Linked DNA regions of Cricetulus griseus. The protein of the gene in region 3 binds, or shares a complex with, the protein of the main gene of each other region. Links are inferred from orthologs where the notes say so. Each region holds a gene or a part of one and is shown on either strand. Other genes may lie near its edges.

The links.
Region 1: Strn3 (region 3) and Strip2 share a complex: the UniProt entries of both Homo sapiens proteins name them as parts of the core of STRIPAK complex. The link is inferred for Cricetulus griseus from reciprocal best matches to the Homo sapiens genes STRN3 and STRIP2.
Region 2: the proteins of Strn3 (region 3) and Strip1 are in contact, whole or in part, in a cryo-EM structure (PDB 7K36), measured with the Homo sapiens proteins. The link is inferred for Cricetulus griseus from reciprocal best matches to the Homo sapiens genes STRN3 and STRIP1. Residues at the interface, in NP_001077362.1 of Homo sapiens: Thr64, Pro66, Gly67, Leu69, His70, Tyr71, Gln73, His74, Val88, Glu89, Ala91, Glu92, Ala95, Arg96, Phe99, Leu100, Glu103, Gly106, Gln107, Leu110, Asp113, Leu114; in NP_149079.2 of Homo sapiens: Arg441, Ile445, Tyr447, Leu449, Thr455, Val456, Val457, Gly458, Leu459, Arg491, Ser492, Pro493, Leu494, Ser495, Phe792, Leu793, Pro794, Val795, Asn797, Cys798, Leu799, Val802.
Region 4: the proteins of Strn3 (region 3) and Ppp2r1a are in contact, whole or in part, in a crystal structure (PDB 6IUR), measured with the Homo sapiens proteins. The link is inferred for Cricetulus griseus from reciprocal best matches to the Homo sapiens genes STRN3 and PPP2R1A. Residues at the interface, in NP_001077362.1 of Homo sapiens: Asn109, Leu110, Asp113, Arg116, Arg117, Lys119, Met120, Leu121, Tyr123, Ala124; in NP_055040.2 of Homo sapiens: Leu10, Pro12, Val15, Asp18, Glu19, Asn22, Leu27, Asn30, Ser31, Lys34, Leu35, Thr37, Ile38, Leu40, Ala41.
Region 5: Strn3 (region 3) and Stk26 share a complex: the UniProt entries of both Homo sapiens proteins name them as parts of the core of STRIPAK complex. The link is inferred for Cricetulus griseus from reciprocal best matches to the Homo sapiens genes STRN3 and STK26.
Region 6: the proteins of Strn3 (region 3) and Sike1 are in contact, whole or in part, in a crystal structure (PDB 6AKL), measured with the Homo sapiens proteins. The link is inferred for Cricetulus griseus from reciprocal best matches to the Homo sapiens genes STRN3 and SIKE1. Residues at the interface, in NP_001077362.1 of Homo sapiens: Arg176, Leu179, Tyr182, Leu183, Val186, Tyr188; in NP_079349.2 of Homo sapiens: Glu96, His97, Ala100, Leu103, Ile104, Ser106, Lys107.
Region 7: Strn3 (region 3) and Stk25 share a complex: the UniProt entries of both Homo sapiens proteins name them as parts of the core of STRIPAK complex. The link is inferred for Cricetulus griseus from reciprocal best matches to the Homo sapiens genes STRN3 and STK25.

What each region holds. Positions count from the first base shown.
Region 1 is NW_023276806.1:197,891,294-197,894,793, forward strand, and holds part of Strip2 (striatin-interacting protein 2), read right to left. Parts: intron 3,490-3,500; exon of another isoform or gene 3,133-3,489; intron 2,518-3,132; coding exon 2,397-2,517; intron 1,378-2,396; coding exon 1,309-1,377; intron 1,112-1,308; coding exon 1,005-1,111; intron 292-1,004; coding exon 164-291; intron 1-163. UniProt on the Homo sapiens protein: Plays a role in the regulation of cell morphology and cytoskeletal organization. Required in the control of cell shape. Calmodulin-binding scaffolding protein which is the center of the striatin-interacting phosphatase and kinase (STRIPAK) complexes.
Region 2 is NW_023276806.1:49,539,204-49,542,703, reverse strand, and holds part of Strip1 (striatin-interacting protein 1), read right to left. Parts: intron 3,359-3,500; coding exon 3,141-3,358; intron 2,288-3,140; coding exon 2,222-2,287; intron 2,117-2,221; coding exon 2,053-2,116; intron 1,154-2,052; coding exon 1,082-1,153; intron 529-1,081; coding exon 454-528; intron 277-453; coding exon 179-276; intron 1-178. UniProt on the Homo sapiens protein: Plays a role in the regulation of cell morphology and cytoskeletal organization. Required in the cortical actin filament dynamics and cell shape. Part of the striatin-interacting phosphatase and kinase (STRIPAK) complexes.
Region 3 is NC_048598.1:150,652,855-150,656,354, reverse strand, and holds part of Strn3 (striatin-3), read right to left. Parts: intron 2,736-3,500; coding exon 2,602-2,735; intron 1,063-2,601; coding exon 887-1,062; intron 726-886; coding exon 678-725; intron 398-677; coding exon 276-397; intron 1-275. UniProt on the Homo sapiens protein: Calmodulin-binding scaffolding protein which is the center of the striatin-interacting phosphatase and kinase (STRIPAK) complexes.
Region 4 is NC_048602.1:19,092,718-19,096,818, forward strand, and holds the start of Ppp2r1a (serine/threonine-protein phosphatase 2A 65 kDa regulatory subunit A alpha isoform), read right to left. Parts: upstream 2,801-4,101; 5' UTR 2,720-2,800; coding exon 2,642-2,719; intron 1-2,641. UniProt on the Homo sapiens protein: The PR65 subunit of protein phosphatase 2A serves as a scaffolding molecule to coordinate the assembly of the catalytic subunit and a variable regulatory B subunit.
Region 5 is NC_048604.1:19,104,084-19,108,247, forward strand, and holds the start of Stk26 (serine/threonine-protein kinase 26), read right to left. Parts: upstream 2,801-4,164; coding exon 2,758-2,800; intron 2,673-2,757; coding exon 2,599-2,672; intron 1,778-2,598; coding exon 1,308-1,777; intron 1,192-1,307; coding exon 1,041-1,191; intron 1-1,040. UniProt on the Homo sapiens protein: Serine/threonine-protein kinase that acts as a mediator of cell growth. Modulates apoptosis. In association with STK24 negatively regulates Golgi reorientation in polarized cell migration upon RHO activation.
Region 6 is NW_023276806.1:53,975,811-53,979,769, forward strand, and holds the start of Sike1 (suppressor of IKBKE 1), read right to left. Parts: upstream 2,801-3,959; 5' UTR 2,500-2,800; coding exon 2,341-2,499; intron 2,153-2,340; coding exon 2,047-2,152; intron 1,060-2,046; coding exon 917-1,059; intron 1-916.
Region 7 is NC_048595.1:445,073,187-445,076,686, forward strand, and holds part of Stk25 (serine/threonine-protein kinase 25), read right to left. Parts: intron 963-3,500; coding exon 732-962; intron 1-731. UniProt on the Homo sapiens protein: Oxidant stress-activated serine/threonine kinase that may play a role in the response to environmental stress.

The DNA.
Region 1 (3,500 bases), on a different chromosome or scaffold from region 3:
AGTGACATCCAATGGATTCATCCAATAGAAACAGAAACCCAATGATACAGAATATTTGATGATTCTAGGTGGGCCTTTTGCTCCTCTCAGTTAGCTGGGGCTAACAGATAGCCAGTTCTGCTGTCTAGCTCTGATCAGTGAGACGGGAATGGAGATCACTCACCATAACCACCTTCCAGAGCAGAAGCAGAACCTTCTTTATTGGAAAGTGAGGCGCCAGGCCACTGCAGAATTTGGTAACCATGGAAAAGAGCAGGAGGGCAAAAGGCTCTTCATTATGGGTGGAAAAGCCTGAGGTATAAAGAGAATCAGAGATGACGTAGTAAAAATCCCAGAGTCTGGGCACACTGAGGAAGGCACTCAACCTCCCTGAAAACTCCCAGAGCACTTTGTATTGAGAGGAGGCATAATGAGCCCCCAGAGGCAATTCCCTTAAAGCACAGGACTGAGGAGGATATTGTGGTAAAATAGTATGCCCCACCCTAGAGGTCATTAAGGTAATGCTTTGAGGGTCATACCAAATAGGAAGTAACAGTAATGATTACTTTTAAGGACTTTAAGGAAGTTCTCATGTGACTTTCTAGCTGAAGGAATCAAGGTATCTTGTGGACCACACTTTATTCTTTACTTATTTACATTAATAAATATATTTTTTAAATGCTTTCATATCCTATCTCTCTCAGATGACTACTTCAACTTACATTAGAAAAAAGGTTCCATTTTTAAGGCAGTTCAGCTCATTTTCCCCCCAACATGGGATTCATGATGAAACCAGAGAGGAATGGTTATCCTCATTTCTAACTAGGGGAACTAAGACACTCGGGGTGCAATAAAACCCAGCCCTCATGTCCCATGAAACATGTCTGTCTTAAAAAAGAAAAGATGCTAATTTTAAAAAGAAAAAGATAACAAGTTAGCACTGCTTTCCTCCGCCGGGCAGGAACTCTGCCTCCCAACCACCCTCAATTCTCCATACCCACCCCTCCTCGAGTGCCAGTTCTTACTGAGCTCAGTTCGGAAGGTCTCTCGGGCTGTCCTCCACCCACAGGAGTCTATTTCTCGCTCCAGGCGGATATTTTCCACCATTAGGTACATGACACTCAGCAGCACCCTAGAAGTTACAAAAGGATCCTAAGAGATTCCCAAGGTAGTTCCCAGACTATAGTTAGAGACTTGAAGGATGATGTCAGTGGGAGTCCAATCAGATAAGAGTAGTTAAAAGGGAACTTCTGACTCATCTGGGATTTGGAAAAGGGTAACCCAGGCTAATCACCCCTCTGTCCAAAGCCCAAGGTCTCCCTCACTCACCTGAGCTCAGTGCTGTCAGCAATGGAGACGGCTGGCTTCCGAAGGGCACTGCTGGAGGCCTGGCTGTTGCTGCCATGGAGAGGAATGAAAGAACAGGGACCCATAAGGCCTCTTTCCTCTCTGCTCTCACTCACTCTTTACCAAACACCGGCCATTCCCTGCTTATACATCCACAGTGAAACTGATCTAAGGTACAGGAACCCATAGAATTCCCTTGCTACCTCAGTAAACCCTCATCTATGGTGAAGACAGGCAAAAGATAAGGTCTATGGTATCAATTTCTCTTGTGATTCCCCATGAAGGGACCAATCAACACAGGGCAAACCCTCCAAGCCAATCCTGAGCCTGTGCATACCCCTAGACACTCCCCTTATGCTGCCCTACAAGATCTCTATGCAGTAGCTTCCAAGCGTCTTTCCTAGCCATCCGCTATGGTGGATGGATGAAAGACCTGAACTAACATGGGGTTAGCTCGTTAAACAACTATAATAAAGCCTCGTGCTGTTTGTATCAAGCTTTCGCCTCCGCATGGTGATTGGGGTGGCCATGGTCCTGGGCTGAGATCCCGAGGGCCTGGGTCTCCGGGGGTCTTTCACCCACAATGCTTACCACTGTTCTGGACACAAAACAGATACTAAGCAAGACCTGATAAATAATCAAAAGAATTCAGTGTATCTGAAACTCCTGGATGGCAGGTGTAAGAGAAAGAGGGTCCAGTGTAGTAGTAGCAGCAGCAGACGGGCCACTTCTACGGTTACAACTCTTGAGGGAAATAATTAGGCACATTGACAGAAACTCGTCTGTTCCTCTTGTGTTGTGTTTGCGATGGAAAAAGTTTTCTATATGAATTCCAGAGTTAGGTTCAGCTGAGAAGGTACTTAGATTAAAAGGGTAACCTGTGAAGCCCAGGATTGTAGAAGAACATAGAATCTGGAAAGAAAGGGGGTAGGGGAAAACTGCCGGTGAGCTTTGAGTGGAGATGTGAGGTGACTCAACACCTGTCGGGAAATGTGCTGAGGAAATCCACAGACATGTGAACCCTTTTGTTAAGACCGTTTCTAAGCCAGCCCTCCACTAGGGCTTCTCACTCGATTTCCATGTGGAGTAGCTCCAGGAAGGCCGAGAAGGTCCCCATCTGATAGAGCAGGAAGCAGTTGTATCTGGACCAGTGAAGCACATCCACCTCTGAATCACATTCCCCAAAAGTGCCTAGAGGATCAGAGAGTTGAGTAGGAGTTGGGAGGGGGCAGCTACCCCAGTTCTTTCCACCCTGCCACATGCTCTTGGAATTTTCCCCATACTTCACGGACTAAACAGGGCCCATAAGAACTTCCTTAAATGAGTGAGTCAATGGAGAAAAGTCCATCTTAAGCCCCTACCCCCACCCCAGCAGTGGATCCTGAGATAAGGGTTCAAATGCAAATTGTCTACTGGGGAAGGGATCTTCAGGAATCTCCAGAAGAGAAATAGGGGAAGTGAGGCAGCTCAAAGAGTTTAATCACAGGGGACTTTCTGGAAATAGTACAAAACACACAACTCAGAGTTAGCTCACCCCAGAGTAAGATAAGCAAAATTATTTTCTCAATCTTTTTTTTGACATTTTTTTGACATGTCAATCCCAGCTCCCTCCTCCCCCAGCCCCCACCCCCACCAACCCCCTATCTTCTCAATCTTGTTAGTCACTTTTGAGAACTGAGTGTATCAATTCTCCCCACTTCCTGACTGCCCAGTGTGGGCTGCAGACGGAGCCTTAAGCAAAATGATCTTTGTGTTGGCAGCTGGAAGTTGGTTAGAGCACAGACCTAAGTGATTCAGAAGAACCACCTTATTTACTGCAATCTTCCCATTTCTTCTTCTTCTTCTTCTTCTTCTTCTTCTTCTTCTTCTTCTTCTTCTTCTTCTTCTTCTTCTTCTTCTTCTTTTCTCCTTCTCCTTCTCCTTCTTTTACAACTTTTCAGTTCCCAATCTGTTGGTTTCCCGGCAATCCTCACATGTATGACCTTAGAGCTTATTATTATTACTCTGGCAAGAATATCTCAGTGCCCCTTCCAACACCTGGCCAGCAGGTTTCTTCTGGGAAGCTTTCGCCAGTTTATCTCATTTAGTTCTGGTTATCTCCAAATTACTCCCAGCATTCCCTCCTGCTGCTGTGTTGGCTTGAATCTTCAAAATGCCAATGAAAAACCTCAGTG
Region 2 (3,500 bases), on a different chromosome or scaffold from region 3:
CTGTGCTGAGATTCAGGCTACGCCATCTCTCTAGCCAGGGAAACTTATCCAGTAGTTTCCTTCATCTGAATCAAAAATACCCTTGACTTAACCTGCAGCAAAGCTGGGCCAACAAAAGAAACCAACCTGAAAAACACTGGCCCTCTTTCTTCTACCCATTCATAGCACTGATACTCACGGCATCTCCTCAGGCAGAACATCTGCCAGGATGTTGATTGAGTCTGTTTTGGCTTTTGATGTGGGAGCTGCAGCCAGTAGGATCTTCAGGAGGGCAATCTGGGAAAAGCAGACTACTCAGATGGGCATCAGAGCCCAGGGCCATAATGGAGTCCTGAGAAGTGGGGTCTGCAAGTGGCAGGAGCCTTGTGGGGTGAAGGAGATCAGCCTATAGGGTATCTCATCACAGGTACCCACTGATCACCCCGAGAGAGAGGTCCCAGACAGAGTACTCACCATATACTGAGGCAGGCTGGGGAGCAAGCCTTGGTAGAGGGTTTCTGCAGGAACTTGTTCAACTTCTTCTTCTCCCTTTAATACAAAGTCACAAACACAAAAACCTATGTCCAGACTACAGTCTCCTGAGCCAGAATCTCTAAGTATTAAAGTGAAGAGTGACACTGATGATAATGACAGGAGGTTCTGAAACATACAGCATGGCAGGAACTTCAGTTGGATAGTTTAGTTAATTCTTATTATAACCTTCTTCATAAGGTACCACAGTCATACATGTTCACAAACACCTGTAACCACAGCACTGGTTAGGCCGAGAGGTATCTGAGGCCATTCTGAGCTGTACAGTGAGGCCATCTGGGTTATAGATAGATGTTATCTCAAATAAACAAGCAAGTAAATAACAATGAAGGCACTAGTCTATCACCGCTTTTATTTTTTTTCTACAGGCAGGGAACAAAGCACCAAGAGATCAAGTTTTGTATTCAAGCTGCTGTTCAGGGACTGAAAGAGCAGGACACGGACTGGAATCTCTTCAAGGAGAGGCTGAGCAGAGCAGCTTTATGGACCAGGCCCAGCTAGGAGACTGAGAGCAGTTGGGGACACCATGGCTGTAGGCCCCTAAACTCACCCCTGAGAGAGGAGAGCGAAGGAACTCCTCCTCCATCTGTGCCTGGACCTCTGCAATTGATGTATACTTGTGCTGAAAAGAGAGGCAAGAAATATGGTGCTGAGAAAAACACCCTTACTCTCTAGCCACACTCCCTCTCCCCTCCCCAGGCTGGCAAAGACCCAAGATTTTATTCTGGTCTTCTGAGAGAGGGCTAAGTCATAGCAAAGATCCCTAAGAAACTGCAAACTTATAATAGCTCTCTAAGGAGGCATCTACTTCTGACAGCCTCTGTGAAAAGCCCACAGTAGATCAGCAAAAAGCAAACTACAGTGGGGGAAAGAGCTTTCAAAAGCAAAAATGACAGGAGCAAAAGACATCAGAGGCAAAAGTAACTGTGTACTCAAAAAGCCTAGCTGCAGAGACCACGTGGTATTACCAATTCCAAAACTGGACTTAAAATACGACAGTCCAGATACATCAGAAACACTCCTCCTGATCCCTGGTGTCTCCCCCCTCCCCACCTCATCCTTACTCCCACAGCTCCTTCCCAGCAGGGAGCACAGGAGAAAAGCAAAATGGTCTTGGCCCCACCCCTGCTTTAGACTCCACCAGGCTACCTGCTGAGAGCCTTTGTCCTGTTGGCCCTCCAGCTGTCTGGGACTGGGTACTGAGCCTGCCAGATTTCTAAAGTAAACTTAGCACACTCAAGGTGCTCATAAGTCTTGCTCCCCAACCATTCTGTGAACAGCGAGGCTGACAATATCATCTAAACCTGCAACTCCTCTCAAACCCAAGGTTTCTTATAAGAAGCCTACTTATGGGCTCCTTCAACTCTAAGGCTGTGTATAACACATCCCTAAAAGATGTCACACTTAAGAAGAAGTGCTTCCCAGCTCTTGTTGGCAGATAATAGCCTTGAAAGGCTTGTCCTTTCTCACTTTACTCACCTGGGACTAAACAAGGCCAAAAGATCCCTTAGGGCCACTTACCTGTTTCAGTGTCTTGATGCTTTCGTGGATTGGCCTTGGCAGCCCCACCACTGTGTTGGTGTCACTGGAGAACAAAGAAAACCTTGTGCTGAGCCCAGACATCCACGCACCTGTCTACTGCCCCAAGGTGAGGCGAATGAACCTCAAAAGGAACTCAGGTCACACTCACCTGCCTAGAGTGTAGCCTATGAACTTGCTGCGGCTAGATTCAAGGAACATCTCAATGTCTTTCTCTCTACCAAAGGAAGAAAGAGGGACAGATTTTTACCACGTATTGTTTCAAGGTATGCTACTATCTTAGGCCTGTGTTCTAATAATCAAAGCATCTCCAAATTGTGACTCTAAGACAAGGAAAGGTCTCTTACAATAAGGGGAAAAATCTGAATTCCAGCTAATTTTGTTGTGTTCATAAACTTGAAGTACGTTTATATTTCTATAACATTCATGGCTAGCTGACTCAAAATCAGGGAGGCATATTAAACTTAAAAGCACAATTTATTCAAACAATAGTAATATTTAATACTTTCAAACACTAAGAAGTGTAAGAGATATAAGTTACAGACTTCAAACGGGTCATTTTCTTGTCTCAACAGAAACACCTTGGCTTTTTGGGTTCTACATTCTTCTCACTCAACCCAGAAAGCTGAGGACTTACCCCTTTTACATCAGTTCATATACACATCTATTCAGTTCATAACACAAGATGCTGCCTATTAAGATACACATTTCTAGCTACCTTTCCATCTATTGACTCACCCAAGGATACTGTTCAATGCATTAAGTGGTTTTATAAAACTCTTCATCTTTCGTTTTATATAAAAAGCCATATACAACTCTAATATAAGTGGGGATAGGTTTGCCTAAATACACATTTTATTTTTCCCCTATCTCTCTTCACTATCAAATTTGACCAGTTCAAATTACTGACACAGGAGCTGCACAAGGGTTATTTGTGTGCTATCAGCAAGACCATCCTCACAGATGTGCCCAGGATGGCATGGGATAGTTTAAGGTCATCTTAGCCTTGCAGAGGCGCTCAGGTCAACACTGGCCTGAGGACATGAGGGGTCTAGAACTCTGAGACTCACCTGACCTTGGGAGCCCAAGGGAGCCCTTTTGGGCAGGTAAGCCTGTCAGTCTGAGGGTGCTGTAGTGGGGGAGGCATCACCTCGTCTCGCTCAAGGGGAAATGTCTCCCCCTCCAGGCTGTTGTCATCGTCATTCTCCTCTTCCTCTTCTCGAGAGTCATCAGTCTTATAGGGGTCCCGCTCATTGAAGGCATCTAAATTGTCCTGCTTTATCAAGGCCTGAAAGCACAGGGAACGGGAGCCGAGAAAGCTTGACAACTGATGAGATGATGGCAGAGGCAAGCAGTTCAAATGGAACAGAAAGGTATCAGATAGGGAGCTGTGACACTGAAGAACACAGAGAAGGACCTAAGACTAGAAT
Region 3 (3,500 bases):
TGAAGGTGTTAGATACCCTGGGAACTGGAGTTACAGACAGTTGTGCCATTGTGGATACTGGGAACTGAACTGGGTCTTCTGGAAGAGCAGCCAATGCTCTTGACCCCTGAGCCATCTCTCAAGCCATAATATTTGTCTTTTTAAATAAAGAAACTTTCTAGCAAGTAGAATTAAATGAACAAATTATATGTTTGAACAACTTTGTAATAACATCTGAACTACAGAATTCTGTCAGGTCTATTCACTGAAAAGATCCATTGTGCCCCTTTACTTACCATATGTATCATAGGGATCCACGTTAGGACTAGGCATATTCCACCACTGAATGGTTGCATCAATACCACCACTAAAACACTGTTCTCCATTAGAACTAATAGCTAATGAAAGAACAGGGCCACTATTATAGAAAGAGAGGAAAAATTACTTATAAATTCTAAGAAGAAACTCAAACCCCACATCCCTCAATCTAATCATTTATGAGGTTTTAGGTAAAAATGTACAACTGAAAAGTACTATTTGATCATATTCAAATATAATTAATCAAACAAGGCATTATTAAACTAATATATCTCCTTTAACACCAAATATTGGGGAAATTAGGTTTGGAGATTATAGTTGCTCATTAAGTACTATTTCAAAAAATAAACCAAAAAAAAAAAAAAAAAAAACCAACTTACATGTGGGCCCTAAATGTATAGATAGGTTCTACATCTAAAGAGGCACTCCTAAAAGGGAAAAAAGGGATGGGGGAAGAGAACACAGTAAATCATTGTGAATCACTGGCTGACAATACAGACATACTAAAACACAGGAATAGTAAAGAATAATAATTATCCATATGAACAAAATTAAAAGAAGAAAAAACAATCAATATTGAAATACTTGCTTTTTGGCAGGAACTGTCTTTTGCAAATTCCAAAGTTTCAGGGTGTGGTCCTCAGAGGCAGTAACCAGCACAGGTTCTACAGGATGAAAAGCTAATGCTCTCACTCCATCAAAATGACTACGTAGTGTATACTTGGGGTTCCAAGTCTTTCGAAAGGCATCTTTATTGGCCGGCAACTAAAATGAAAAAGTGCACTATTTACAGGTAAAAGTAACGAACTGGCAGGCATGTGGACTTTCTGTTTTCTTTTTGGTGTGTTTAAAACATATAAAACTGTTCCACTAAAATATCCAGAAGCTGTTTTAATGACCTTAAAAACTCCATAGCAAGTCTATCTTTATGTAAGAATTCAGAATATAAGAATTCAGAAAAATAATTTTGTAAGACTTTCAAATATCCAGGTAGAAGAGTTCCTTTATCATCTGTTTTCACCTAATCATCAAAATAAATAAATAAATAAATAAAATAAAAAATAAATCCAAAACTCCTATCAAATGTCAGATGAGATAGATGAGAACAGAAAACTGTCACTGCTGTAATAGTTTACACAAAACCAAAACAGAATATAAACATTACCAAATACTCAAGGTTACAGTAAACACAATAGTTTCCATTTAGGAAACTGACCAGTATATGAACAATTCCAAGGCAGACAGTTAAGGGACTTTTAAAACAATGAACTAAAAACTCCTTAAGAATATTTTCCTACATCTTTCTTTTTTTTTTTTTTTAATTTCCTTGAAAGACAGAGTTTCATGTTGCCCTTGAGCTCATATGTAATTAACCTTAACTTCCAATCCTTCTGGCCCTGTCTCCCAGATACTAGGACTACAGGAATGAGCTACGCTGCCCAAGATTATGTGGTGCTAGGGATCAAGCCCAGGGCTTTGAGCAAGCACTTTTTCCTAATCCTTCATAATAATAAAGCTCAATCTTTTCACCTTTACTTCTGTATCAGTAAAGACAAGCTGTTAATCCAATTCTAAAGCAGTTAAAAGTTTACTCAATTTAGTTGTAAATATGCTTTAAAAATTATTAGTAACAATAGCCCAGCCCACCAAGGCAAATATCGTTACAAAAAACATCCTAAATTAAGTCTAAATTTCTTTTAATGTTAAAAAAGAAATTTTTTAAAAAAAGGAAGAAATTTGCTGAAAAACTAAAGTGAATGCAAAAAAATCTAAAATATAGTTAACTCTAATCGAGTGTTTATGCTTGGAAAATATCAACACCTGTCTAATACTAACACAGTTCTTCCTATCTCCTTCTTCTAGCCCTCAAGTGAAGCTAAACATTTAGGAAATGATACAAGCTAACTTTGTTGTGATTGACAAAATAAGAGCTCAAAAACAAAACATGGCTTTTAAGACTTTTCATGATGGCAAAAACCTGATTTCGATAGTATTTATTTTGTTAACACTAAAATATGGCTTTAACTTAGTAAGAGTTAATTACTCAAGATGTAGTTAACAACCAATATTTTAAGGTAATAACCCCAAACTCTTACCTAATCCACCAAAATTCCTAAGAAAGATTTATACACCACAAAGGAAAAAAACTTAAAGCAAAATTACATGTTATTTCAAATCAACACATCAACACACTTAAACATGTTTTCCATGCACCTTGACATTAATTCACTGTTATAAATGATTCCAAAGAATAAGGAGCCTTCTATTAAATCATTAAAAAATTAAAAATAAAACTGCACTTACATCATAACTATAGTCTGCATCATTTGTTACCGTCAAGTCTGCAAGGTCTCCAAGGCCCAGTACACTTAACAAAACATCATCAGAACCCATAATAAATGACTTGCCTCCTCCAGATGGAAACGTTATTGGTTCAGCTATAAAGAACAAAACCGCTTCTTAAATGCTGAAAAATCATACAGTACAATACAATATTGTGGGGAATTTAAGCACGAAACAGTTACAAAATTCAGCAATATTATGAATTCTACTTCCCACTTCCACACACAAAAAAAGTCCTACTACTGAATAGAAATAAACCAATGTCCTGAAACTACAACGTAGAAATCTTCCACAGACTGAATAAACACCATATAATTATCCCAGGATGGAAGCAGAACACAAAGATCTTGTCTATTTAGATCCCTTACCATCTCGGTCAATTTTAACAGGACAGTTTTTGATTAAATAATCAGGTTATCAGCCACTTATGGGAAACAGATGTCTATCAACCTCAGAATAGCTCATACAGCAGTTTTGTTTTGTTTTGTTTTTTTAAGTCAGTAAGTTACTACAAACACTCTGATATACAAGCCTATCAGTTAGTGCCAGAGATGGTCCAGGAAAAGATGGCTCTCCTAATAATGTCAGTGTCCTAAAGGGATTGCCTTCCAACCTTAAAACATTCCCTATGGCTTCATTTTAATGCCCTCTTTTTGTATATTATAATGTTGCTAAAGTAAGAAACAAGTAATATACATTAACGGCAGAACTTTAGATTTCAGATCAGAATGGGTACTTCAATATCAATAAAAACTGAAAGGGAAGTTTCACTTTCCTTAGTCGTCTCATCTGTGCCTTGTGTATTATTACAACTTTCTACAGTGATACTGCAATGCAAATTAAAGTGCAATCATTTGAAT
Region 4 (4,101 bases), on a different chromosome or scaffold from region 3:
TGCTGATGCAGACACTTTATGGAAAGCAATGAACCCCCAACCAGAAACTAAGCATTAGCCAGGCAGTGGTGGCGCATGCCTTTAATCCCAACACTTGGGAGGCAAAGGCAGGCAGATCTTTGTGAGTTCCAGTCCAGGCTGGTCTGCAGAGCGAGTTCCAGGACAGGCTCCAGAGCTACAGAGAAACCCTGCCTCAAAAAACCAAATATGCATAAGAATTGGGATCCTAAATATGGCGCTTCCCTGCCACCTGTGGGCAGCTGTTCTTTCACTCAAAAATTTTGATTTTGTTAACAATGTCCTTTTTTTTCCCCCCCAGAAAGATGGCACTGTGAATGCTGAAGAAGAGGCAGAAAGCTGTGAGGCCATGTGGCTTGAATTCAAAGCTAGGCTGTTATCAATCAGCTGCCAGATCTTAGGTCATGTTCACCCAGTGAGACTTATGACAGACTTCTCATCTCCAGAACCATAAATAAAACTTTATGCTGCTCTATACTATTAAATTTATGGTAAAGTGTTACAGAAGCCTTACAAAACTGGCACAATGACCTAAACTAACCAACTTCCTTACTATCCCTGGGTGCATATTTCATCCAAGAGCTTCCCTCAACCTTAGTACCAATGTCTTTAAATGGGACTTTTTTTCTTCCATGAGGGATGGCCTATACACAACAACAATGTATAACAGCATTCCTGACGCATACCCATTAAAAGCAGCAACAATCTCCCAGTTATGACAACCAAAACATCCCTAGACATTGCTAAACATCCCTGGTGGCAAAAATAGCTTCAAGCTGAGGACTACAGTCATTGCACAGGTATAGTCCCTCTTTCTGTAAGCCTCACCCCCAACTTCTCAAGCATTGCATCCTGGAAGGAGTCTCTGAACTGGTCCAATTCCTCGACCAACATTTAGATGTTATGCACTCTGCCCAGAACCCCACAATTCCTTCCTTGACCACAAGCAGGTACCGGCTCAACTTTTCAACAAGACTTCTCCACACTTACTCTAACAATACACCCTATATTCCTTATTTTTCTCTTTACAACCTTTCACAGTCAACACAATCTGCCACTCCTCACTACAAGGTAGATTCTTCCAAGGCCAGTTTTTGTCCTTTTCCTCCCAGATGTACCCAAACACCCAGAGCACAGCTCAGAACACAGGCCCAACAAACAACTGCTGATTCATTATCGCAACACCGACAGGTCTCGTCCCTTTTCACAGGTGGTAGTATATTTATTTAGTTCTCTTTACCTGTTTCACACCTGGCTCCTGGGCAGCAACCAGCCTGTTTCTTTGTTGATACAACAGAGTGTGTCACTATGTGGACTAGGCTAGCCTTGAACCTACCACCCCTGCTTCCTGAGTGCTGAGATTGCAGGCATGCACCACGACGCCTGCCCCCAACAATGACATTCCTGGTAACACCGCATGTGTTTACTCGACACTAAAACCAGGTTGCTATTCCCATTTAACCGAAGAGATTCACACTGGGTTGCCTGGGTCAATCAGCAAAACGTGCAAGGCCCGGAAATACAGCTCCAGCCTGTCTGGCAGCAGAACCTGAATCATATCCACGAGACTTAGAGGCTGGGCGCAGCCTCAGGTTACCCAGTGCACCACCAGGAGAAACAGGGGCACCGCCGCAGAGCACGGTACCACAACAAGCCACTCCCCTCAAATATAACAGCTAACATTTACGGGGCCTTTACAAGCGGCCAGTTTTATTTTACTACCTCTCCTCAGCCACCGGGGTAAGCCAGGACTATTATTAGCCGGTATTTGGTAGAAAACGGAAGCCAGGGGCGATGGAACAACGTGAACACAAGGTCATCCTCAGGCCTTGAGGTCTGACCTCTCTCTCTCTCTCTCTCTTTTTTTTTTTCAGAACCACAGCAGACCCACTAAAAGCCCCTGGGCCTGGGTCACTCTTCTCCCGCCAACCTGAACTATCACCTCCCTTGGCAAAAAGTCCGGCCTGGGGCGAGCCTGGGGAAGGGGGTGTGGGGTGGGGTGGCGTGTGCACACGTGACCCGTCCCTGAATTAGGCTAGTCGAATTTCGGGAGAGGAGGATGCCTTTCCACGTCCTCCTCTCCCCTCCTCCTGCATCAATACGAGGCGGAGGCCCGAGAGGAGTGGGCTGCTGCCCTGGTTATCAGCACCCCTGGGGCCCAGGATGGAAAACACCGAGGAGCAATGGGGAAATCGAGGTCCCCAGCACCCAGGAGGGCTTCCCCTCCTCGGCGGCTCACGCGCCCCCCCGGGTGGGGGGGGGGTCATTCCGAGTCCGCCGCCGCCAATCACCCGACGGGCCGCCGGCCCCAGGCTCCCTGCCCCAGCCCATCTCGGGCCGCCGGGCACAGATTTCCCCGGGCGGCCGCGCGCGCCCAGGAGGGACCCTCGAGGCTTGCCCTCCGCTGGGGCCCACGGCCAATCAGGAGCGCCGTCTCATGGAGTCTCGCCCCTCGGCACGATGAGACGCGGCTGCTGATTGGCCGCCGCTGCCTTCCGCCACTCCCGGAGCAGCCGGAGCCATCTCTCTGTCTCCCCGTCCGTCCCGCATTCCGCCGCCGCCCCGCAGGTCCCCGGTCTCCCCCCCACGACCCAGCTCTAAGGGCAGGGCGCCCCGGGCGCACCTGGACGTCCTCATTGCGGAGCTCGTCTATGAGCACCGCGATGGGGTAGAGCGAGTCGTCGCCGTCGGCAGCTGCCATCTTGGCTCCCCGGCGTCTCCGTCAAGCTGCGGCCAGCGCCGGGCGGAATCCAGGATCGGGCGGGGCGGCGCCGTGTTGGGCGGGGGAGCGGGTGGGGAGAGAGAAGGACGCGAGAGGGCGTGGGGGCTCCCGGGCCACGCTACAGGGGCCGTCCCACCCCCATTGGCCGCCCCGGGTCGCGTCTGTTTGGTCCACACCAACCAAGTCCCGCCTACCTCCCACGCTCCATTGGTCGGGGCGAAGCGGGCTGGGCTTTCCGCCGGGCGATCGGAAGCGGAAGTGGGGCGTCTTAGCGACCGAAATTGTGCCCGCCTCGCGTTACCGCTGGCAACCGCGGAAACGAGCGGGGCTCTGAGCCAATGAGGAGCGAGGGTGGGAGGTGCGGGGGGCGGGGGTGCGGCTCTGCGGGGCGGTGCGGAGAGAGCGTAAGGTGGGGTGTGGAGAGCGGTGAGTGACGTAGTGGAGGACAGGCTGGTCGGGGCGGACTGGGCGAGCCCTTGCTATCCGGCTGAGGAACATGTAGTTCTTTGGTTAGAAGTCAGCGAGCCGGAAGGTATTTGCGGGTGTACGCCCAGCGCTGGGACCCCCCCCACCCCCGCCCCCTTACCGGCTCCTATGAATTCTCACAGTCACGTCCCCTTAAGACTGAAAAATGCACGTTTGAGAGGGAGCAAGGTGCAGGGTTGGCTGCAGCCTTGTGAAGATTATCTTCTCTTAGCGACCCATGGTTATTTTTGTAATTTTTTTTTAAATTTGCTTTTCCCTTCCCTGCCTCCCCCCTCCCTCTTCTCAGAATAGAGAGACAATTAAAACAGAAAACGCCCTTCCGGAGAGAGTGGGCATTGGTAATCCGTGATGTGCCTTGGGATCCAAGTGTGTCTCTGTCTGGCCCTGAGTGGAGGCACGAGAACTGGGAAGCCCGGGGGAGGTATGGAGAGGTGGCCCCTAACGCTGCTGTGTGGACGAGGCGTCCCTCCCGAGTTGAATGATCTGTGTAGAAACCTCTCCCCTTTCCTGTGTCGTCTCCCTTCGTATCTAGCGATGCTTTTCCAGTCTCTCCTCTTGAACTGTCTTGGGTTAGACATTTTAGGAAATCCTGGATGCCTTTATAGTCACAAGATGGGGTGGGGGCGCGTAAGTTGTGTTTGTTACTACCAGAGGATAACCGGTACTGGGCTTGTCAGGGGTTAGTGTGAATAGGCGTTTTTAGATGTCGATGAGTTCTTACTGGCATGCTTAATCAATTTATGTAAATCGTGAGAATCCGAATTAAAAACTGAGGTTTTCACTTAGCAGTATTTTGATTTTCTGTTTGTACTCCTTATCTCTTCTGCTGAAAATCCTTAATTTCTAGTGACATTGATATAAAGATAGATCTGAAT
Region 5 (4,164 bases), on a different chromosome or scaffold from region 3:
AAATGAATCTCCAATCCACAGAGTTTTGAGTCCTACTAGAAACATAAGTTATGCAATGTTCCAGACATTTTCTAACTTGAAAAAAAGTTTCTTTGGTTGGTTTAGCATATTTAAAAGATCACATAAAACCAGTGGCAGTGTTTTTAGCCTCTGATCTATTCTTCATAAAGGAGTTGTTTATGCTACCAGGTGGTGGGGGTCAAATGTAAATGGTTTAAAATGTTATAGTGGGTTTAAAAAAAAACAAGATGTGTAAAAAGTCTGTTGACATAGATTTTTCCCTAATAAATGATACCATAATGGGGCAGAACTGCATAGACATCGAATAGGAACTTGGATCCCACTCAGTAGTCCTTTGGACTGGACAAATGCTTAATACACCTTATGAGAGAGATGAAGAGATGGGCCTGGGAAGTCATCCCTTAGGTACTCAGAATGGGACCCTGCATTCTTTCCAGCACTTTCCCCTGTACAGGTGGGGGAGCGAGATACAAGTTTGCTTTAAGTAGCACTGAAAGGGAAAAGAAGTCATCTCACTCTTCTCTCTTTGCACACAGGAAGAGCCCAATTCAATGCCACCACCACTCCTGGTGTCGCTCCGCCCCAACTTCTGTGTGTGTGCCGTGTGGGGGGCACCGCTTGGGTGTTTTAGCCCACACATCCCAAGATCCCTTCATCTCATCTAGGTTAAGTTCTGGAACAACACCGCCACCCCCCCCCCCCCAGTCCTCAACCATGGCATGATCAATAAGCCAACAAGTACAGGTGCCTAAGGTTCTGGCCTATTTTTATATGTGCACCCCTCCCCGCCAACCCCAACCCCCATTTACTGTCGCGCCCCAGTCGCCCCAATCTCTCCCGCGCAAAGCACCTTCTTAGCCCAGACACCAGGAAACACCTCGAGCTTTACTTCGGGGTCACCTGGAGAGAGATCTGGCCCTACCTTCAGGTTTGCCCGGTGGCTGCCCCTGGTCTCTGGTGCCCAGAGCGGGGCTCTGGAGCAGTCACGTGGGTGGCAGAGGAGGCCTGGGCTTTCTCACCTGCATCCCGGGCACTTGGACAGCCACCGGTGAGTGGGCCATGGAGGCGATTGCTACTTCGCGCTGCTTCTGCGGTGGTGGCGCCTTCGGCTCAGACTGGCTCCTCCTACAGGGGTAGCTCGGTTGCTCTCCCAGGCTTCTCGATCCGGGCCTGGAAGGACGCAGAGAAGTGGAGTTAGTGGGCTGGAGGCTTGCAGCCTCCACTCCTCCAACCCCCTTGCTGGGAGGTGAGAGGTTCGCGGCACTGCTCCCCGGGACTCAGTTTACCTCTCAGACACCCGCCTGCCGAGGTCGTGGCCAACTGGGTTGCTGCTCCTCTTCCTGAATGCAGGGCTGTTCGTGCGGCAGTGGCTGGGACCTGGGCTCCAGTGATGCCGCTCGGCTGCGCCTCGCCGCTTTAGGAAGAGGAGGTGGAGGCGCCCCAGCAACCCGCCCGATCGCTTAGCCTGGGAGGAGGTTGGGGGCGGTTCCGCACTTGGCCCTGCCTCCACCCCGCTGCCGGGCGGTGTCTGGGGAGCTGAAGCTTCAGGCTGCAAAAGGGTTTGGCTAAAGTAGCTGGAGTCAGAGAAGCAGGAGACTCTCCGGATTTGTAAAAAGCAGCAGAAGCCTGGGATCAAGAAACTTGGAATACAACTGGGCCTGGAGAAAAATAGAAGAGTGTGCGAGAGCTGGAGTCGCGTGGGGGATATGAGGGCGACCCGGATGAACCCGGCCACGTTGCAGACAGGCTGGGGAGGCTGTGTACCTCACAGAGGCGTGTAGCCTCACAGAGGTCTGTAGTTGAAAAAGTTTTGCTTGGCTCCCCCACCTGGCCGAGGGTGGGGCCTCCGAGCCAGACACCTGCTCCTTCAGCGCCTTAGGCTCCTGTCCTCTTGCTTTTCAACTTTCTTACCCCTAGATATGCCTCAAGTCACTTTATCATGAACCTGTCCCTACCTTAGGCTATCAGTTAAGGAATGGAGTGGCTGAAACTTCTCACAATTTCTGCGTGTTTAAAAGAGCGGCAAATTGGAACGGATCGCCCATTGGCAAAAAAATTAAGGAGGATAACAGGGGCAAGGAGCATGAGATTAGATCTTTGGCAGCACAGATAGTTATACTTAGCATACATAGCCATGACTTCTGCAACCCTTTGCCCTTTTCCAATTTAAACTCAACTCCAGGAACAAGGCAAGCCCTTTTGGGGGGACCCAATAACAACAGTGACAGTGATAATAATAGCAGTCACAGGAATCTCAAGGAAGCACCTTTGTGTACACAGAAAGGGCTAATGCTAATAATAGGCAAGAGCCAGTCTAACATGAGAACACACCTTTGCAGTTTGTTCCGAACCTATGCACCCAACACACTGTGGGGGAAGCTCCAAGTAGACACTCAGCAATTGCTATTCTCAATTAATTATAAAGGAAGAATAGCATTTGTTGAGTGTCTGTTTTCTCCAAGAGAAGAATCTGGTTCTTATCAACATGGTTATTACTAATATTTTATTTTCTTTGGGCCAGACAGCCCTAAATTCAGGCTTTGTGTTTTGTAGTGAGTTACTGTGACAAGAGCTCACCTGGGTCACACTGCTTTCTCCCCATTGAGCAAACAGAGCAAAAGGCTCAGCCAAGTAAACATTTGACTCAAATACTGCAATTAAAAAGTGATACATCAGAGAATTCCAATCTAGGTACCTCCTGACTACTTAACTACCTTCTATATGGTTTCTGTTTACTTGGAACGTTATTAAAGGACAACATTGCGTCTTCCTTAGTCATAGTGCTTCAAGTCTAAGTGTTCTCTATTTCTACCAAATCTAGTGTCTATTTCCCACTAGCCCAGCACACACTTTATACTAGCCTACTCAGAAGCATGCAATGCCACTTAAACTTTAATGCCCATAAAGATCTCAAAGGGGTTTGCTTGTTTATTTGTTTGTCTGTTTTTGAAGACATGGTCCCACAATATTTGTTTGTCTAGCTTTGGAGACAAGGTCCCTGCCTAGACTGGAACTCCCTACATAGACCAGGCTGGCCTCAACCTCACAGAGATCCACCTACCTCTGCCTCCTGAGTGTTGGGACTGAAGGCGTGTGCCACTGTGCTGGGTTCAGAGGATCCTTTCAAAGTGAAGATTTTGAACCTGCAAGTCTGGAGTTAGCCCAAGAATTTGCACTGTTAACAAGGTCTGAGACGATGAGATGAGACCAACAGTGATTCTTAGTAATGTGAATCAGGCTCCATCATTAAAGACCCACCTCAGGTAGGTCCATTGAACTTTCTTAGACCCACCATCCAATTTTCATAGTTGCTCTGTGCTCACATTCAGAATCCTACCATGTGTACATGGAAGCAATGCTTACACTGTTGATCCTTCTTTGTATTTCTGACATTGCATGCCTTTTATTTGACCACCAACCTTACTATGTGCTTGAGGCCAGAGATACAGCTTCTCTTCTGTGAAAGTTATTCAAGAAGAATGGTAACTCTCTGACAGTGATCTTGCTTGTTGTTGTTTACTGCAGTATTCCCAGAGCCCTGCAATGTTCTGTGGCACCAAGTAGGTCCTCAATATATATTTGTTAATTGAGCAAATGCATTTCCTTAGAATTCTTTTCTGATGTTGGTATGTGTATTCTGAGGAATATATATATATTAAAGGCGTGCACCACCACTGCCTGGCGGAACAGTATATTTATTATCAGGCTAAACTCATAGACACTGCTCTTGGTTAACCTTGAAGTTTTGATCACTTTTTATATGTTTTTATATATATTTATATATTTTTAATATATTTTTATATACCATTCAATTTTGGCCTAATGTGTTGTTTCCAGCTACTTAAATTTTACAACTACCTAAGAGAATGTTTTATAGTTCTAGTAAACAAGTGAACTCTAATCATAACAGAGAAATACCTTTCCTGACATCATGCAAGTCTAGAATGATGCAGTAATATTGAAGAATTAACACTAAACTTTGACATCTAGTCTACTGAGACAGTTTCTGAATGGCACCGATGAGCACCTTTATTTCAGGTATGTTCATCTTGAATAAACCATTCGTTATTGCTACTATTGATAAAGATCATTTGGGGATTTATTTGGGGTTCCTTATGGATTTGCTTATGCTTTTTTATATTA
Region 6 (3,959 bases), on a different chromosome or scaffold from region 3:
AATCTGTGGTACGTCAAATAATTTCCATTTTTCTAAAGACCATTTGACACCCAGGTGCCAGGTGTGGTGGCACATACCCATAATCCTCGTCCTTGGGAGGCTGAGGAGAAAGGATTAGGAGTTAAGGATTAGTCCAAGCCAGCCTGGACTAAATGGGACCTAGCGTCCCCATCCCCAAGTAACAAAACAGACAATAACTCAAATATTTAGATATTTAAAGACATCCCAGTTCCCTAAAACTTGTAAGTCAGTAAAATCCACCTAATGGAATGGGAGATGAAATGTAAATTGTATCTTTCACTGTAGTAAATAGTAGCTTCCAATTTAAGAACTAAAAATTAAAATACACAATACATGCAAATATATAATAAGTAAGCACTGTAGAAACTAAAAACTAGTTAGTTTTTTCCAAATTAAATAGTAAGCAACTAAAACTAAAATAGAGGAACTGCCACAAAATGAACAAGACTCCCCGGTAACATAATGTGAATAATTTAATGAAATTAGTGACTACTTGCTATGTGGAAGATATGGATAAAACTGAACTAATGCCCTCAACACTACAAAACTCATGGTTTAGTAGAACATACAAGTAATCAGCAAAGTATTCACGGAATGCCTTCAACGCTAGCTGCCATCTTGCTTGCTATCTAGCTTGCTATGTAGTCCAGGTTGGCCTACAACTCTAAACTGTCCTATCTCAGGTTGAAAAATAGATGTTGGTGAGAGAGGTGACACCATCCAAAAGGATGTGAGAAGCCCCCGTCCCCTTCCTTTATTCATATCTTCACAAAGCTTCAGTCAGATAGAGTGACTATGAAAACCATGAAAGAGGAACATGCTTTTCTGCAAACAAAACAACAACTCAGGATTTCAGTTTGGTTTATTTATAATTTATGTATCAGGGTTTCCTTACTGCAGAGTGGGACTGGTGAGCTTTCAGAACTGGTTCGGTATCCACTGCTTTTTTAGCAATCATTAACTGTAACATCTGTTTCCGGTACTTGCTCATGATGAGTTCCAAAGCATCCTGGTGTTCCTCCAAGGAAACCCACAGCTCTAACAAAAAAGCAAACATCTGGGCAATGATGTCTGTAACAGGTCTCAAGGCAAACCTCCTAACAGCTGGGGCTTTCTGATACTCCATGGGATATTGTGAATCCAAACTTGGAAATTGGTATTCCAGCCCACAGAAGTGAGTAAAGTCTATCTGAAAAACAATTTTCTAGGCAGTGGACTTTTGTAGAAGGAAATGGGATATGTAATCATAAGACACAGATTTGAATTCAGTTTTCTCATTTACTTGCTTAATTAAGACTCAGAAGCAAAATGAGCCCATTTAAAAAAAATATTATCACATTTTGTTGATTTGTGTGCAAATACCACAGTGTACATGTGTGGTCAGGAGTCATTTCTCTCCTTCCAATGGAATTCTGGTCCTTAGGCTTGGCTCTTCAGGCTGGTGCCATTACCTGCTAGGCCATCTTGCTGGCTCATGTGAACCTGTTTCTTAATTGCATTGTGTAAACACTTGGGTTGTGGACTTCAAAATGACAACAGGGGATGGAACGGAAGGTGTAAAAAGGTCTCTGCAAGACAACTGCCATACTGTTGTCATTACCAACCCGAAGAATGTATATTCTGGAGACAAAGTTCAGCCTTCCATCTTGCCCAGGAACATTAAAAAAAAAATAGATAAATAAAAAAAAAAAACCTACTTCGATATTAACTTTAGTGTTCACTCTAACATATATCAGAAATTACATTTTGAGACTCTGAATTTTAGTTATATAAGCCTCCATCTGGTATGTGCCCACCCCAACCACCAAACAACTCAACTCTACTAAACAACTCTTTCAAACTCATCTTTCAAAGACTTAAAAAAGAGCAACCTAATAGACTTTATTGTTACCAGATGACCCTCTTAAGCACTGACCTTAAGCACTGACCCTAGTTATGAGATGTGTAAGCTTATGAACTTATTCAGGCACTTGTGTAAGAACGTTCAAAGTATTACTAGACATACACACACACAGCCCGACTAACCTCTGTTTTCCTGCTGCAAGTCTCTAATCTGGGTATTCTCTTGAGACAGCAGAATGTGAGGTTTATATTTAGACATGTCCTTCACGTCGGGTGCATCCTCTTGATACTGGACAGAGAGACTGATTAAGCCGCTGCAAACACAGCAGGTGCTGCAGAGGCGGCAGCAGTCCCACCCATTCCACAGGAAGCTCTCAAGCCCTCCCTGTCCTCCGCACCAGGATAATTAGACGGTGACCCCACCTGCCCTCTCCCCGCAGCGCCCACCGCCCAGGGCGCGGCCCGACCCGGCCCGACCTGCTCGGGCAGCACGGCGCCCGCCTCCCGCATCGCCGCCACCCGCCGGTGCAGCGCGGCCGACTGGTCCACCAACGACTCGGCCGCCGCATCGTGCTCGCGCAGCCGCTCCAGCAGCGTCTTGGCGTCGGTCAGGATCTTCTCGATCGTGCAGCTCATAGTGGCCGAGGACGCCCGCCCGGCCCGCTAGCCTCAGCGATTCGCTCAGCCCTTCCCCAGTTTGAGATCAGCGCGATCGCGTCACTTCCGGGCACACTTTAAAGGCGCCTGGGCAGCCTGGTCGGCGTCTGCGCAGTGGCGGATTCGCGGTAACTCAGGCTTCGCCGCAGATTTTCTTGGGTGGAGCCGCAGAGGTCGACTTGGTCCCAAATTCTGGTTCTTCACGATGTTACAGCTGTTCCTGTCTCAGTTCTCCTTTTCTTCTGGTTTTGATGGATGTGGTTTGTTATTTAGTCATGGGTTTTCAACAAATCGATGAAACAAACACCTCCCCCCCCCCCCACACAAGTGAACACACACTGGAACCTCTCACTTTCTCCCTCCTCTCTTCCTTCCTCTTTGTCCTTCCTCTTCCTTCCCACCCCTTCTTCCCTTCTTACTCCCCTCCCCTCTCTCCTGTCTTCCTCCCTCCCTCCCTTCCCATTCCTTTAAAAGGTGAACAGTGACTGAGGTTGTCCTCTGACCTCCACATACTCAACTGCACCTGTGTATACAAATAGCGTGCGCGCGCGCGCGCGCGCGCGCACACACACACACACACACACACACACACACACACACACACACATTAGTATTTCAGGTCTCAAATCGAAGCTATGTTTTGGGATGCTGTCAATGCTTTAAGATTAGATTATGAGGACTGGGACTGTATGCAAAACTACTGAAGGCTACACTTACCAGTGTGGCAGTGGACTTAGGGATGTGGCACCCAAGAAATATAATGACACACAAGTGAGATGGCAGTTCCCTTATCTAATAGAACACACCCAAGAACTGTGACTCGCTAATGGATAGAAAAGAAAAACAGTATGGATTCCAGATCGCCTTTTACCGGTTTATTGTCTTGGGATGCCATAGAGAGTAGAGGGCAGGGGACTTGTGGGAGTAAGTGGGGAAAACAGCCAGTGATACACTAAATTTTAGTTCAGTATGCAATATAAACAGGCAGGTGGTAGTGGTGCACATGTTTAATCCCAGCATTCGGGATGCAGAGGCAGGCATATTTCTGTGAGTTCGAGGCCAGCCTGGTCTATAGAGCAAGTTCCAGGAACTTGCTGGGATTAAGGGCGTGCACCACCATCGCCCGGCTACAAATTCAATTTTTAATAAATTGGAAAAATGAATTAGGTAAGTTTATTTGCTTCACTTCTCCCTCCCTCCCTCCCTCCCCCTCCCTCCCTCCCTCCCTCCCTCCCTTCCTCCCTCCCTCTCTCTCTCCCTCCCTTCTTCCTTCCTTCCTTCCTTCCTTCCTTTTCTTTCTTCTTTTTGTTTTTTGAGACAGGTTTTCTCTGTGTAGCCCTAACTGTCCTGGCACTAGTTCTGTAGACCAGGCCTGCCTCTGCTTTCCTAGTGCTGTGATTAAAGGCATGTGCCACCACTACCCCGATACTTTTTTCTTT
Region 7 (3,500 bases), on a different chromosome or scaffold from region 3:
CATATAGGTAAAAATAATAATAAATTAATATTTTTAAAAAGAAGGGCCAAGCCAAGCATGGTGGCACATGCCTTTAATCCCAGCACTCGAGTGGCAGGTGGCTGAGTTCCAGGACAAACAACTACACAATGAGACCCTGTCTTAAAAACAAAATAACACACACACAAAACCAAACAAAAAAAGGAAGCATACACCTTAATTCCAGCACTTAGAGACATAGGCAGATCTTTTGTGAGTTCAAGGCCAGGCTGGTCTGCAGAGACCCTGTCCAGAGGAAGGGGCAGGAGAAAAGGTCTTACTGACCACCCAGCTACCATACCTCTGGTACAGGCACTTGGTGGACAGACCAAGTGCCCAGAGCAGTCACTAAGTCTTTTTCAATAGCCCAAGTGCCCTCCTGGCAGACCTCCACAGTACTGCCAGCAGGGACCCCTTAGACTGTACCTAACAGCACCCACAGATAAGACAGCTGGGTCACTATGACCACTTTAGAGCCACCTGACTCTTGTAGATTGTACTTCTCAAAAGAACAGACTTTTTTGTGAAGCTGAGCTTTGGGGTAAAGGGGAGCCTCTTTGCCCTTCCAGAGGGATCCCCATGTGCCCAGCAGTGCCTTTCTCTGCTCTCCTCTACCTTGGGTACATAGTAACTCCTCTGGAAACAGGACAAACCCTGGCACAGAGCCTTCAGTGCCCCCCCACTCCCATAGATGCCCCCTCTCCTGGCAGCACCTTCAGGTAGGAGCCGAAGTAGCGGGTGATGTAAGGGCTGTCACACTGGCTGAGCACAGTGATCTCCTGCTGGATGTCCTCAATCTCATCCTCTGCCTCTTCCAGGTCAATGATCTTGATGGCCACCACCTCCTTGGTTTGGTTGTCGATGCCTTTGTACACCTCCCCAAACGAGCCCTTGCCAATGCGGTCAAGCTTGGTGAAGAGTTCCTCTGGGTCCACACGAGAATTCTACATAAGCCAGAAGGGACAGAATGCTGAGACAACACCCACTAGAGGAAATACTAGAAGAGGGCTGACTGCTGACTGAGGGTCTGGGCCACTGCAAGGAGCTAAAGAGAACTCACCTCAATCCTTTTCTGGCTTCTTTATCCCTTGTCCAGAAAACCTAAATGTAACTCTCCACTCTCCAAGTGACACTATATTCAATAGACTTGATACAGTGAATCAAAGTATCTGTAGACTCAACTCAAATGTATATTTAGAATCAAATGTATTAGCAATACCACATCTCAAAGTGCCTTCTTCAGTTGTCTAACAGAGAGCCAGGCCAAGACCTATCAGGAATGACAGGTAGGAGTATGTGCGTGCCAGAGGGTACTGTAAAACTCATTTTACTATAAATCTAAAACTGTTCTAAAAAAAAAAAACAACAAAGTAATGGACTGGAAAGATGGCTTGGTGGCCAAGAGCACACACTGGTCTTACAGTGTGTGCTCACTGCTACAACCTTAGCTCCAGGGGATCTGAGGTCTCTGGCCTTGGAGAACACCTGCACTCACATGTGCATAGCCCCAGTAATTTAAAAGTAAAATTCATCCAGGCATGGCGCATGCCTTTAGTCACAGCACTCAGGAGGCAGAGGCAGGCAGATCTCTGAGTTCAAGACCAGCCTGATTTACAGAGCTAGTTCCAGAATTCCAGATAGTCAGAACTGTTAAACAAAGAAACTCTGTCTCAAAAAATCAAAAACAAAACGAGAGATTAAAATTTAGCAAAGCTAACTTATGTTTTCCATACTTAAAGTGCCTCTCTATTCTCAAATTAGTCCTCTAGCCAGCTACATTCTCATACCAGTACTGAGTTGAACACTTTCTCAGATGTTTAATTCTAGATACTAAACACAGAAGCATTTGTACCTAATATAAGTCTCTGGGAGTTACTTGGGACCTTAATGTGGTGGCGGGCGGAACTCAGATGGCCTGGTGGAAAGCGTCCACATGGCAGCAGGACTCAGGCAGCTGGGCGTAAAGATTTATCATTACAAGCTACCCTAGACAGCCCTCAGATTTAACTAGGATCTTATCATTGCTGAACCGATCATGTTGAAGATGAGCCAGGATGGCAAAGGTGTGTGCTCTGTCCAAACCACGCTAGGTTTTGAATCAGGGCTGCCTCCAGAGAGGAAAGAAGCAGAAGAGCCTCTCCCAGGGCCACCACTGAATGTCCCTACTGTGCTACCTGGCAGACTGGAAAAGAACATGTTCTCCATACCACTGGCCACGCTGGCACAAGACCTCAAAGGGGAATGCTGAGTCTCATCCAGGTTTTCAACCATGCTAAGTTTCACCTCCATTAGGAGATGGTCACCCCAAAAGGATGTCCCCCAAACAGTATTTTGGTGCCTGTTAAAAGGAACCCAAATCAGGCGGGTAAGATGGTTCTTCTGGTAGAGGCACTTGCTACCAAGACTAACAACCTGAGTTTGGTTCCCTAGACCACATGGTGGAAGAGAACTGACTCCCAAAGCTGTCCAGTGACAACACACATGCCATGGTACACACACGGAGAGGTGTTGTTTTGTTTTTAAGGGGGGGACCATGGAAATAACTCAGTGGCAGAGCACTTGCCTAGCATGCCCAAGGCCTGGAATTCAGCTCCCAAATGGGGGGGTGGGAGGCCGAGACACAAAAAGGCAAAACCACACTTATTTACAACTGTCTAAGTACTGATGCGCAAATCCCTCTGCTTAGGGAAGAGCCTGTCCTAGGTGTTTACCATGTTTCTAAGAAGCCTGTCCTCCAAAACTGACATAGCTGCCTGATTCCCTGAAGCCTAACTGCCCCAGCTTCTTCTCTGCAAGCAAAGCAACTGGTTTCAGACCCCATCTGAGACAAAATTGCCAACTAGCTACATTCTTAAGGTTTTTAACCGTGAAAGAAGTAAAGGGAAGAGACAGAGGACCACACTCCCCAGCCCTCGACAAGCCAAGAACTGCAGAACAAGATGAGGTGAGCAGAGAGAAGTTCGGGGAAGAACTCCAGGCACAAGGGCAGTGTCTTAACACAGAAGTCACCTAACCCCTCTAAGCAAAGCTGCCTCCAAGAGGCCCGAGTGTGTGCCACAGTGCCATGCCTGGCCCAGAGCAGGCACTCTGAGCAGACTAGCTGTGGTGTCCGTATGTGCTCTGGTTTGGCCAGGGGGCTAGAGAGATGGCTCGGTAGTTAAGAGCACATGGGTTTGGTTCCCAACAGCCCACGTGATCTCAAGCACTTCCCACATGTGATGCACACATGCATACATGCATATACTCACACATACACGTAAAGTAAATAAACCTATTTTTTTTTTTAAAGAAGATGACGACAACAAAAAAGAAAAAGGAAGGAAGGAAAAGAAAAAGACCAAGACCAGATGGCTCAGTGGGTAAAAGCACTTGTCACCAAACCTAACAACCTGGGTTTGATCCCTGGACCACATGGAAGGAGGAAACCAATTTCCATAAGTGGTCTTCTAATATTTACACTGTGGTACATACATACCTACCCA